Daphnia pulex: one gene and its partner. The protein of the gene in region 2 purifies or fractionates together with the protein of the main gene of each other region. This does not show direct contact. Links are inferred from orthologs where the notes say so. Each region holds a gene or a part of one and is shown on either strand. Other genes may lie near its edges.

What was found. The genes of interacting proteins can lie anywhere in the genome.
Region 1: the proteins of proteasome assembly chaperone 2-like (region 2) and proteasome subunit beta type-7-like purify together in Homo sapiens (affinity purification with mass spectrometry; 3 studies listed by BioGRID and IntAct, counting the BioPlex papers as one, with this or other methods). This does not show direct contact. The link is inferred for Daphnia pulex from reciprocal best matches to the Homo sapiens genes PSMG2 and PSMB7.

What each region holds. Positions count from the first base shown.
Region 1 is NC_060019.1:7,368,982-7,374,805, reverse strand, and holds proteasome subunit beta type-7-like, read right to left. Parts: upstream 1,901-5,824; 5' UTR 1,797-1,900; coding exon 1,735-1,796; intron 1,662-1,734; coding exon 1,482-1,661; intron 1,403-1,481; coding exon 1,255-1,402; intron 1,195-1,254; coding exon 754-1,194; 3' UTR 669-753; downstream 1-668. Other genes in the region: 39S ribosomal protein L53, mitochondrial-like, read right to left, coding at 2,602-2,795, 2,852-2,961, 3,033-3,178; serine/threonine-protein kinase Nek7-like, read right to left, coding at 3,882-3,993, 4,040-4,218, 4,273-4,386, 4,453-4,655, 4,720-4,939, 5,052-5,267. UniProt on the Homo sapiens protein: Component of the 20S core proteasome complex involved in the proteolytic degradation of most intracellular proteins. This complex plays numerous essential roles within the cell by associating with different regulatory particles.
Region 2 is NC_060026.1:15,319,471-15,327,861, reverse strand, and holds proteasome assembly chaperone 2-like, read right to left. Parts: upstream 5,189-8,391; 5' UTR 5,096-5,188; coding exon 5,030-5,095; intron 4,210-5,029; coding exon 4,044-4,209; intron 3,984-4,043; coding exon 3,925-3,983; intron 3,858-3,924; coding exon 3,679-3,857; intron 3,614-3,678; coding exon 3,503-3,613; intron 3,436-3,502; coding exon 3,237-3,435; 3' UTR 3,176-3,236; downstream 1-3,175. UniProt on the Homo sapiens protein: Chaperone protein which promotes assembly of the 20S proteasome as part of a heterodimer with PSMG1.

The DNA.
Region 1 (5,824 bases), on a different chromosome or scaffold from region 2:
TGATGGATTCACTTAAAAGCCGGGCCGCGTAATTGAAGAGATTTATCCTGCCGCTGATTGAAAAAAAAAAAGAAAACAAAAAGAAGAAAAACAAAAAAATGACAAATCGAGCAGGGCTCGCTTATCAATGTCTGGGTTGTTTTTTTTTTGTTTGTGTGCGTGTGTGTACATATGTTCAGTGAAATGACAAAAAAATTCGAAATGTGGCAAAAAATGGAGTTGAATCACGCAGTGCGGCTGCAATGATGTAATGACGATGTGTGTGTACATAGCCAAACGCGAGTTATAACCCTACCCCCCTTAATTTCGTGTATTTATTATTATGCACTCCTTATTTCGATAATTTCTCATTGGATTCCGCCCGACAATATTTGGCTATTCAAAACAAAAAGGATGAACGAAAAACAAATTTAACACTCGGGACGCAACATTCGTATCCTGGCCACACTCACACACTTTTGGCAATTACGTTTCTTATATATATACATATATATAGGGAATGGAAAAAAAAACCCAATTCGTTTCATTTCTTTCGCCCTATTTCTTTTTCAAGCCTCTGCCCGCCTATTATTGAGCGTGGTTGTGCTGTGCATGTCACTTGTAAGAGAAAAAACGGCACAAATTCGTTGGTTGCAACGTTAAAATAAATAAAATGAATATCACGTACATTTATGGATTCGACTTCTTTTATTTTATTTTTTTTTCTTTTTGTTTGAAACGAAAAAAAAGGTGTGGGGTTCAATATGTTTGGATTTAAGCCGTGTCCATGCTTTCTTCGCCAACTGGACGCACGACAGTGGATTCGATTTCGATGGGGATGACCCGAGTTGAGAGGGTAGCCGTGCACCCGCGAGGATAACGGTACGAGCCTTGGCGTTCACCTTTAACGTTGGCCACTTCAAACGGTCGAATCATTTCAGCTTTCTCGCGAGTAATGATACACAAGTCGACGTGACTGCCAGACATCAAATCGTTGAAGATACCACCGCAAATGGCGTTCCTCATCAGCACTTTGGCTTCAGCCAATTCCATGTCGGGCTTCCAACCCGATTCCAAGAAAGCCATAGCGGCCAACGAACCGGAACCCATTGCTACGAAAGGCAAAGAGTCAGTTGAACCGTGTGGGTAAATGCAGCAGACATGGGGTCCTGAACTGTCAATGCCTCCGAGAACCAAAGCAGCTCCAATGTGTCCCTATATTCAAATAAAATAGTGGTACTACTCTTTCACTTTATACAACCAACATCACAATACCTGGTAACGGAAAAGCATCTGCTTGAGCAAGCGATTGGCTGTTGCAACCTTAACCTGACGTCCAGTGTTCAGACGATGGAGTTCTAACTGGGAAGACATCTGCAAAGTAGTCATCTCCAGATCAGCTGCAGTTCCAGCACCAGCGCAACTAATAGTAAAATTATTTCATTATTACTTTTGTTGACCTGTTAAGTAAGCCTGTTATGATTTAACACAAATACACATACTAAATGTTGGGTGCCATGTAGTGAAGTTTGAAGCAGTTTTTGTCTGCAACAATATTTCCCTCTGTGGCCCTTGTGTCGGCACCAAGAATGACTCCATCCTTGAAAATAAAACCAGCAATGGTTGTTCCTGTTTTGACAGCTTTGGGTGCTGGAAAGCCTTGGTTGGACATGAAATTGTTTCTGGATTGGGAAACAGTTGTAATTGTGACATTTTAGGTTTCATACAAATTTATAACGATTGAGTAAAACGTACCTTTGACAATTTTCAAAAGAAAATCCTCCTTTCGGAATATTTACCACCTTTGTAGACGCCATGACGATATGTTCGAAAAATTGATGCTTCTTGCTTCGGCAACAGAAGTCGGCTCACTCAAAATTGTCGACTGGTTCACAAATGTGAGAATCATCACAGTGTTGTCTATTCTGGAAATTTGGTTTTACGCAATGTAAAATGTCCTATGATTTGTAAATTGTATTCGTAAATCGTAAATCGTGATTCATTAAGCAGGAAATAATTTAATCGCACTTAATTTTAAAATTAATCTTGATTATTGATTAAGAGTTGGATGTGTGAGCTGGTGTGAGTGCAGCTGCATTAGCCACTATATTAACGCTACAATTTATTAATTTTGCGCGTCATATCCAATAGCCTATACAGTTTCTTGGTATTATTGTTATTGATTATTGAAGGCACTACTCGCCCTAACAATTATTAGAGAGTCGTCTAAAATATGTGTCTTATTTTCTAACCTTAGGCCTACTACAACGGATTTGAATTGCCTTTAAAATATACAACACTTTTCCAATGGTTCTCAGAATCTCAATCACTTGTAGCTTTAGTACATTGTTTCAAGTCTCAGACTTCCTCAATTTAAAAAGTAAATAGAGAAAGTGCATTTAAAAATTTGTATTGATGACTAAGAGAGAACTCATTCAACTGGTCTGATGGTAATGTATCTGGAACCTATGTAGGCAACCAAAATAGTACCAGCAACAAAAATCACCACAAACATGTAAAAGCTTTCTTCATCAAAAAGATCATTGAAAGCTGGAACTTGAGAGTAGAGGTTTTCAATCATCTTCATAGAGCCAGGATCCCTTCCTGGGAACTTTCGTTCATTCATTTTCTAGTTGGTTTAGATTTTCCTCCTGCTTTTCCTCCTGCCTTTCCTGCTGCACCCGCAGCAATTTTACCAGCTATTTTTCCTACTTCTTCTTCCTTTGGCAGTAAAGGTACCACAATTTTGTTAAACTGTTGGAGGACTTCAAGGGTATTAAGATTTTCTGTTTTGAACAAAAGATTCTTGCCTATATCTGAGAAAATACATTAGGAAGGTTTCACTGATGTGTTATAAATAAACACTATTTACCAAGTGTGACTGATATTGTTGGTTCACAGTTATCTGCTATTTCTGTCTTGACGATGCAACGAGGATTGGTGTTCACAACTTTTGCTGAAGAGAGAAGGAACATGCAATCTCTAAAACAGAAAAGTAAAAAATACAGATATAAATTTTCTGGCGATGTAGTCAACTTTAGTAAATACAGTACCTTATGGTCTTTACGTTTGGTCGGAAAGGATCAAATTTGAATACTACTTGCTTTACAGGTTTCAAACTAACACTTTTCAGTTGCTTTCCAATAGCTGAATAAATCCCAGCAGATCTAGTGAATCCTCCAGAAAATGGAATAGACATGGCAGATCAAGAAAGAAAATAGTTTACTAGAGTGAAATTCTCAGAGCATGCGTAATGGGAAGTGATCAACAGAAGAAGCAGACGAAAACACGCAAGTAGCGTCGACTGCTTCGTTGTGCCGTGCCGTTGTGCGTCAAGTCATTCACGTGTCAGTGTCACCCTCTTACTAGTACTAGGTAATATTATTGTTTAAAATGTAGTCAGTTATAATTAATATATTGAATTTGCTTGTAGGATGGCAGCTATTACACAATTTAACTGTGATCCACAATTCTGTCCACGTTGCGGTGCCATATTACCTATCTTGGGAACCGCGGGTGGAGTCATGTGTATTGTTTGCAAGTTCGAGATAGATATCCAAGTCATGGAAGAAGTTCGAGTGGATTACAACATTGATTTCAATAAAAGAAGTGACTACATTGAAGAACAACAGTTGAAGTCTGCCCAGAGCAAAACTGATGGCCCACTTGTAGAGCGCAAGTGCAGCAAGTGTGGGAATGAAACCATGTCTTATGCATCACTTCAGTTGCGGTCTGCTGATGAAGGCCAAACCATTTTCTACACCTGCACCAAGTGCCAACACAAAGAAACCGAAAACTCTTGAGAAACTCATTGTATTGAAAATATATATCACTTAATGGTAATAAAATTTGAACTTGAATGGGAGTTGCACTTGAAAATGAAGGAGTGGTTTGGAAATCAATTAAAAATTTCTTGATTGGGTGTTTATGTTGTACATTTGATTAATTTTTGAATTATTGTTATAGAATGCTGCTTCTGGCCTTAAAGTGAACAATTGTGGGTGTCCCTGATTACTAAAAGATAGCCATATTTATATTAAGAATAATATATGTACGTTACCTCAAATTGTTAGCTTTATGACTAGAGGTTATTGCACATCGTCGCAATTCAGCAGTAACATGAGATGCTGCATCGCTATGGAATTTGAGATTGATGTCTTGTGAGTTCTTCAGTACTTGGTAAGCATCCGGTCTCTTATCAGGTCTTGGATGGACGCATGTCTCTACCATTTGCCGAAGCTGTAAATCAAATGAAATATCTGTCGCGACTATTTAGTTAATGATTAATATAACCTCTTGACTATAGTGAGCAGAAGGAATGGGCGGATATTCACACCTCTCAATCTTCTGGCAGAGGGAAAATAAGTTTATCTTTTCTCCGTAAAAAGGTGATTGAAGAGCTGCCATCTGGCAAAATTCGAATCTTGTCAGTAAAAATAAAAGGAACAGGTTAAGTTATAAATTTACTAGTACCTCATATAGAAGACAGCCCAGCGACCATATATCTGACTTGAAATCATAGCCTGTCTGCTTTAATCTTTCAGGACTCATGTAGTAAGGAGTTCCAACTAGTGAGTGTGCGGCCAATGTTTTCGAGCTAAAGAAACGACTCAAACCCAAATCACCAAGTTTAATAATTCCGTTAGCTGTCATAAACACATTTGCAGGCTTGATGTCTGAAAGAAAAATAGCCGAATGAACAGAATGTTTAAACGCGAGTCTAGCGTAGTTGATGCACACCTCGATGCATGACTCGTTTACTGTGCATATGTTCCAAAGCACTGCAAAGTTGTACAAAGTAGCGCCAAATTGTTTTTTCACCCAAGAGTCGACGCTGTCTCTGGCAGTGTCTCAGTAATTGGGCTAGATCACCTGCATCAGCTAGTTCCAAAACGATTTGAAGTTCTTTGTTCTCCACGAAAGAGTGAATGTAACACACGACATTTGGATGGTTTAATTGCTTTTGTATGCGTTACAAAATTGAAATAAGATGGAACGGACGTCCTCACATTAATTTTTGTCATCAAAATTGAAAAGAAATATTTAAAAAAGAAAAAAAGAAAGTAGTGTACTTGCAAAAGCTGAATTTCTTTCATACAATCGTTACGTGCTTTTAGATCGGTCATTTCGTAGAGCTGTACTTTTTTCAACGCTACCATTGTATTACTGAGTTTACAGTGTGCGCGATACACCACGCTAAATTGTCCTTTGCCGATGTGTTGTCCAATTTCGAAATCTGATAATTTTACCGAAGAATAGTCGCACTCACTCAACACATTGGTCGCCATTACGAACTTTAAAAAATTAGCGCCAAAAAGACTTAAACAAAAACTTGAACCTTGTTTTATACCGACCCGGCGGTGAATGGCAATTGACAATTGACAATGACGTTACGTTAGTTTCCCTTTAAAGAGCTTTAGATATTTTGGTATCGATTACTAACCTCCCCCTTCTTAGGAAAAAAATGTTCCAATTTTACTAATCTCACGAAAAGAAATTACAGAGCGCAGGATCGTTGTAACTTACTGAAAATATCTAACAAATGATGAAGTCAAGATATCTTATATGAATTTTAGAGAAAATTAAATAGTAAAAATTTTCTAACAAGATCAACATGATTTTATCCCTGATTTGGTCATTTTGAATTACCAAAAATGATGAATCCTTAAATTTTTTTTCCGATACGTCGATACGCCCGTTATAAATACGATTTTGCAACGCCGCACCCGATTCTTAAGCTGTCACTTTGGCTTTTTGGAGTGTTATTAGTTTCGTTATCCTTTGCATTGCCGTGTGTACTGTGTAGTCCGTACTCGGGCAGTTTGATTGCAAATATTTTTATTCT
Region 2 (8,391 bases):
CACTTTTTACACACATAGGAAAATTTAGAATGTGTCACATTTCCTACCTAAACACCAACCCTAAAATTCAAATTTAATGGAATGATTCGATTTTACCGTAGAGGAACTTTGGCCAAAATCATCAATTACTCACGGCGTATTTAGTCGGATAATACATTATTGTACCTGCCACTCTCACCAGTCTAGGATTTCAAACCCACCCTCGAAAAAAATTGATGGTTACATTAATCACTATAAGAGAAAATTTCACTATTCGTTCGACGGAGAAAGAGAAAACGTTTGTTCCAATTTTCGCCACGCATTCCAGATTTACCGGCCTATGTAGTGGCAATTACTATTGTTTTCAAAAGACATTTCTCCGTCATAAAAACGTTTGGATATTTTTGGACTTTGTACGAGTGTAATTGGCAGTCATAACTTTTCTTACGAACCTACCTATCAATACTTTGGATCACGACGTTCTAAAATCGGTTTTCATTTTCCTATTCAAGTCAAATAATTTGTATGGAATGTTGCAATTATTGCCCAGACTAAAATGTTGCGGATTTCCGCGGACACATTTGATTGTGTTATTTAAATAACCTTTTTTTTTAACTTTACAAGAACCCCACGATTGCCATCCATAAACGCTGAATAATTTAAAAACCACCCCATATTCACGTCAATTAAATACTTCGTTCAAAGCTATTACCCTTACCAATAATTAGTCATTATTTTTTATGCAACGCAATTTTATTACCAATTATACATCCAACATGAAGTTTCAGTCACATTTTTCAAGTAGTCGGTTAGACACCACATCTGAAATTAAGGAAAAACTAATTAGACGTGGCAATCAAGTAAAACACTTACATGGCATATTTTGTAACGTCTCAGAGTAACTATGACAGAACATCAGAGGTAAGAAAGTAAAATACTAGAACAGTATCAAACTAATTTATCCAGCCTAGTGCAATCGAGTTGACATCATGGAGTATAACAAAGCAATAAGATGACAACACTGGTTATACCTTTCCAAGTTGGGAACCCTGAACTTTCGACGTAACGCAGCTTACAGATACCACCTGAAAACAAAGAATGATAATTTTTTATCATACCAGTTTAATAAAAGACTTATAACTCATTAAAAACGTAATCAGTAAATGACAAGATGTCTTATGCATCAAGATATCAGATGACACGCACGAATGAACATCATTTTAAACCGAAACACCTAAGGAAACGGAATCAAATTACTTACTTTCCAGACTGGAGCTCGAGTAGTGTGTAGTACCATAGTTACATCAACCTGCTGAAGAAATTGTCCTTCATTAATAAGTGAACAATTATACAAGTATTTTATATCAATATTTAAGCATCAGATAACGATTGGTGGTCTATTTTGTCGTCATACAATCATAAGTAAATTTATTATGGAATATTTACCATTAATTATGATGCATCACATGGGAGTAATCCTTAACTTGCTCAAATACGAAATCGAGGTCAAAGCCCTGGAGTAACAAGCCTCAATACCTACAGAAAATTGAAAAATTATTAAATTAAGGAAAACTAAAACATAATGATAATTCTTGAAGCCATTTCAGATTTGCAAAATTTATCTTCCTCAACATCAGATGACCTATGCTAGTGAATCATCATAAAACCCCACGGCACACCAATTTTAGAACCAACATTACCTAAATTGCAGATAAAAAAAGACTGCAATCAGGGCTGCAACCAAGTTACAGCAAGAGGATATCTGCGAGGAAAACTTCATTAACATGATTTCATTTGCAAACAGTGATAGTTACAAATTAAAAATTTCATTTAGAGCTAATACATGATTCCTCCATGATATTTCAGGATATATTTTAAATCATTATGGTTGGACACAAAAAAGGGGTGTTCAACCCAACTCACCTCCAAATCGGTACCATGGCTCTACACAGTGGGTAAACAGTGATAGGTGATAGAGGTGTGCAATCACGACCTGAAACAAATTTAAAATATATTAAAATGGGAAATAGGCCAATGATTGTAACACAAAGCTAGAACTGATCATCAGATAGGAGCGAAAGACTATAATGCAAAATGTCTTCACTAGCATTAAGATTAAATTTTATCATCACGAATACTAGTATATAATATAGCCAACTTTAAAATTTTCACCTACATTTTAAGAGTAGAAAATGCATGTAGACAAATCATTTTGTAGATTTTTTGGATACATTTCAAATTTACGACACCAACCACGCGACCACGCTGTTTTCTCAAAAATCTGTAGAACCAGAAGGTAAATTTACCGTAAATTTTATCACATAGAATTTAATGTAGATAAAACAAAATTTGAATGTAATAACCAATATTATGAAACAAAGCCAAATACCAGAAATATTTTTGAACATAAATTTAAATTTGACCAAATAAACTACTTACCAAGGCAGAAGGCAGTGAGAGTGAGAATGGATCATAAAAAAATTTTCTGAGCAGAAGAAAATTCTATTTCTACCCTTCCCACAATCCCACCCCAACCCCATATCATTTACAGCGGTGGCAAATTTTCAAAATCTTGCTTAAATTACATTTAATTTTTTAATAAAAATTTGTTAAAATATAATTTACCGCTGATTGGTTGATTGCCATCAGTAAATGAAACTCGAACTCTATCACATGACAAGCTTTAAATCAATTATTGGCGCAAAAAAATTCTGAGACTTATTTGGCCGATATCGATTCCGCGGTTCCGCCGGATTCCGCCTCGTCCGATTGGCTTCCGCAGGTTTTTAACCTATGTTCTATACATTTGCGACCTTTCATATTTAAGTAAATGGCACAATAACATAATATTTATTTCTGCACGGCAGTATGAATGGAATCTAAATGCATGTTTGAATTATAAGATTTTTGTCCGTTCTAAAGGTACAGGCTATAATCTCAAACTAGTCGTGAAACTCGTATGTCTTATCTTTAACAGCCGTTCTTTCCTTTCTGCAGAATTGAAGGAAAAGATCATCACAATAAGTCAATGACGCAATCGCCCACCAACCAACGTCCGCATCGCAATTCCATAACACTTTCTCTGTACCTTTTTTTATTATTATTAACGTATAACTGACAGTTACGAGACCTGGGGGTTGGACTAACAGCTCCATAACAAGCACGTCGAATAACCAAAAGATTAAATTAATTGAAATTCACCAATCACTCGATTTTATTATCTTTTCCTTTGCCAATCATTATTTTTTTTTGATCAATCAATACATGGTCATGGGAGCTGGTGCACCAAAGAATAATTTCCAAGACGCTGGGAATTTCCAGCCCGGGGCATCATTGGCCATTGGTACGAAGTTTAGCCACCGGTTGAAATGACCCGTCACCAGCAAAACTCCCGGTATATTGTCACCCTCGGCGCAAAATATAAGAAGAGTTACCAGAGGGACATTCATTTCGCCACTGCAGAATAAAAGGGAAAACTTCAGTTATAAAACGTAATCGAAACGGATTGAATAAACACGTCTACCATAATTTATTCAGAAGACTAGTATATCCTCCACCGGGGAAGAAAAGGATATCTTCATTGCCTTCCTTCCAAACCGAACGTCGGGTCTCCAGGGCAGGCCACTGCAGAGTCCTATAGTTCAATCAATACTTTTAGAATACAATTATTGATCTTGATTTTATCTCTCCGCAATTTACTTTAATTCGTTTTCAATAGACGAGTTGACAGCTGAAGTCACAGTGTAGCGGAATGGAGATCCGGTGAGTTGGGAATCAACTCGTTCGTAGTTGTGGAGGCTGGACAGCAGAATAGTCTTGACAAAAGCGCATTTCTTGATCCAGTCCACTAACTGGGACAAGAAATCGGCACAAAATTCCTTTTGGGAGTAATAAATGAATTAGCTGGTTAAAACCTTTACATTAATAATAATTTCAATGAGTTACCTTAATCAAAAGACCACGAATCTGTAGAATAACCAGTTTCTTTTCTTTGCTGATGTATACTGAAATTTTAGCGAAAATTAGATGCCATTCAGTCAAAAATTTAATATCAATTAAATTACATTCTGCTGCTGTCATGAGGCCTTGTTCCCGTATTTCATCATAAGGATCACTGCCAACTACGGGTACGAATACGGGGTGATCCAATTTGGCTAGCTTGTCACAGTGCAGGGAGCTGATGAGCAAGTCCACCGAGAGCTGGCCGATGTTGCCGACTGAAACGGCCGGCTGAAAAATCAGAAAACCAATTTAATGATGCAATAAAATCCAAAAAATACTCAAACTATGAAATTCAATTAGAAAAAAGACGAAAAAAGATGTAGGTGTGACTTTATTGGCTGGGCTACTGAAAGGCGCCTACTCACGGGCGCGATCCCACTACTGCCCGACACGGGAACTTTTGGCTGCTCGGTTTCCCTCCTGGCCCGATTCGCTCCTCCTTAGATAACCTGGATCTGCCGGATTACTCCAACCGATCCATGTTGATGCCAAGCTTAGTGCGGACACCTGTTCAACGCAAGCGACGATCCAGCAGGACTCCCAGCCTCAAGCCATCCACTACACCAAGCCTCCCAGAAGCAGGATTACAGGTACGCGCCACATACCCAGCTGAGAGACTAGCACTTTTGGAGCATGTCATTTGGGTGACGGGTTTGAAAGGAATAATTTTTCACGAATCATTCACTACGTTTGACTAGCAAGTTTGTATGCGGAAATTTTAGTTTACTTTACGCATTTAGTGAAATTGAGTTAAGTTGTACTTTTGACAGTTCTCTTATCACAATTCTAATAATGGCCGCCAGGTGGCTCCTTTTTTCAAACTCGATTTTTACTTCAAAAATAATAATTCTTTCCAGTTATTCAAGTCTATCGATTAAGAAAATAACATTGTTGTTCCCTGAATGCAATTTACCCACTAAAAATTTAAGTCAATGTCGTAACTGCTTTGACATGAATCACTCGTCTTTCCAATACGCAATTCCCCTGTTCGAATTTTTCGGCCGAGTTCGAGATCTGCCTTTAATCAATCCACCTTGCACGAAATTACCAATATGAAGGTGTAATCTTGAAGTGAAGACCATTCCAGTGATTTATTCTTCAGAAAGACAAACATTTTCTTGACCACGGATTGCAAACGTGTTAAACTTGGTAAACTTGAAAGCCACAAATGACTGGCGGAATCTTTGCAAAAAGCGTCTGCTGTATTTTTACCGACGTCACCCCAGTTTCAATTTCCACCGCTAGGTGGCTTATAACTCAATTAATCTCTCCCGTAGTTGCCTTGTTGATACGACATTTGCGTGAATGGGGTATAACTGAATAACTGAATGATCGGGTTCAGCGAGTTTCTAGTCGGTTGAAGAAGGAATTTCTAAAATTACAGCAATTAAACAAACATAATTCTCTCTCCTAGCGACTTTCCTCCCTCCTTGGAATAAGTGGGTGGGTGGTCATAAAAAAAAAGAAATAAATTTGGAAAAAAAATAAAAAAATAAACTAAAAATGAAATCCACCTGTCATGTCATCACGGTCTCTGCCCTCCTCCTCCTCCTCCCACAATTGTATTGTTGGGTAAAAACAGAACATGTAGGTTAGGGTTCCTCTCTCTCATTCTCCCTTCAAAAACAAAATGAAATATTACCCCCCGACACAATGAGATAAGAATTTTCCGTTTTTCTCTTTTTATTTTTCAGTCCCATTTACCAATGACAAAGCAAAATAGTTCAAATGATTTTGTGAAAGATTTTTATGCGCCTAAACTTGCAAAAATTCCCCAAAACAAATTTCTCCGCGCTGCAACGACTTTGCGGTTCACGTGAAATTCAACCGACGATGAGAAACGGAGCGCGGGCTGATTTTAAAAAAGACGAAATAATCTCGTGAGCAACCAGCGCGCTCAGCGATCAATCAAAAAAGATTTCGCTGCATCTCAGCAGCCCTGCTAATAATAATATTATGGCTAACCATATGTAGGGTACGGCGCTTGTGTATAATGAGGTGAATCTTCCACCGCAATGTGATGAGGTACGATACTGAGCTCATCTGCCGACCGCTATCCGGCCGGCATTTTTCCTATATATACCGTGGCGTGTGCAACAACATCAAAAAGATGAAATATGTCGGTTATCCGACGTGCTCTGCTGATCCATCCCATTTGGCTCCCCTCGCAACTGACAGTTAGATATACTACCCACTGCCTATGTGTACACGTGAATGACTGTTGTTACGTTTTTAAAACCTCCCAGCAGCACAGCAGCAGGTAAATCTTCTCTTCAACCAACTCCAGTTTCCGTGTCGTCCTACTTCTTTGGCGTCCAATTCCTATCGTCTCATTGTGCTCTTAAGATGTCCGCAACAACAACAACATTACTGTGATGCCCTCCTCCTCCATCTCGGGTGGTTGAACTTGGCTAATCCGAGTCGCGAAAAAAAAAAATACCGACGGAAATAACCGTTGGATGTTGTGTACAGATCATAGATATATATTTCCTCATCCGCGCGGAATGATCCGCATGACGGAACACTTTTTAAAATTTTTTTAACCGATGAAAAATTTTCCCGACAGTTTGAAGAAGAGACTGTCCGTTAAAATCATCACTTTTCTTCCCACTATATCTAATACGATGGCTGGGAGGTAGAGAAAAACAAAAATCACCAAAACAAAATTACGTGTGTAAAAAAGTGAATTTGTTTGAGAAGAAAATCAACAACTTTTTTTTCAGTGTGGCCATTTGACCATGAAATTTTCTTTTTCTTTTTTTTTTACGTTTTTCCCATTCAACGTGTGTGTGAGACTTTTGATGGTCAAACAAACATTACACACCGGTGCCGGGAGAATTGAAAAAAATTCGTGATTATTACGTGGGGCCGCTCCCATCTTTTCTTCACGCACCACCACAGTTCAGCAGCTCGCCCAAGTCCTTACGTCACTCTAATGATGGATCGCGCCTTGTAAAAACATTCTGATGATCGTGATATTATAAAAAAGAAATATTAAAAGGGAATAATTCTCCCTTTCCTTCTGGATTATTGCCACTTCCCGTGACTGCCGACCGAAAAAATACCGCACCCAAGGCGAAATAAAAATAATAAAAAGAACGTTATTAACTTGGGTATTGTATGGAAAATGGGAAGGAGTTTGGCTGGGCAATGAAAATTGGGCGGAAATTAGCCAGACGTCACCTAACCCAAACGAGAAGGAATTAAAAACATATGAAACATTTTTCTTATTTTGGTTATAGAAGTGTATAAGCTGACCAGTTGGTGGGTGGGTGGGGCGCCAGCTCCTTCTGAGAGATGTTTAAATTCAAGTATGGAACTCGCCTCCAGGTGTTGCTGTTAACGCGGTGGAGGCCTCCTATTGGACGTAATAATAATAAAAAAACCAAAAAACCGCATCCACCCGAAATTGCAACTTTTCTGTCTTATCAAAAGAAAAATGCGCGGTTCTTTTAAAAAAAGGAAAAAAAAAATCATTTGATAACCCAATCAATCACGCAAATATTTATAACAAAAAATAAAAAGATCTATAGACTTTCACGGGTAATTTACACCCCGGACAATGTTTGCCCCCCCCCCCCCCCCAAAAGAAAAACTGTTTTCTCATCTCGTTAAAAGGCAACATCAAAGCGAACGTTACGTGCATTATTATCATCAAATCCCGAAAGAATCATTTCTTCATCTTTATTTCCAGGTGAGCAATTTTTTCTTATGCGGCTCGTGACGACTGCACGACACACACACAAAAAAAAGGTCTGCTCATCGTATTATGTCATCTGAATAATAGCAAATGGGACAGCCAACAGCCAACAACAACAACAACAACAACGGCACCCAATTGTTAGCCAAATAAACCGTCACCCAGATTCGGTAATTGTTTGTCGGGAGTAACCCAGCCGGGAAGTAGATACACCGGTACATACACATTGTGCGAGCTCATAGATATATCGCATAGACCGTGTGATTGTCTATATTTCGGTGTGTGTGTTCTACCATCTCATCTCCAAGCCAAATGGCCTTAGCTATATAGGAGCTATTCAAATTATTGAATGCTCCTAGAAGAAAAAAAAAAAACAACTTCCTTCCCTACCTCTTCCACCACCAGGTAAAAATGCAACGGAGAATTTGGTCCCACACTCCAATGGCGGGCGGCGCAAAAAGGAGAAGAAGAAGAAGAACCGAATAAGAAGAAGAAGAAGAAGAAGGAAGGAAGGTATACTAGACATTACATAGGTCGATGACTTGAGCAGGGAAAAGGGTAGGGACATGAATTCTGCCAGAGGGAAGAACACACACAAAATGTGTACGGCGGCGGCGGCCATCTTCTTCGCCCGTTTTTATACCTGGAAAAGAAAAGAAAAGAAAAGAATAAGAACTTGGTGGGAAATGTGTACAAGAAAAGGCGAAGGA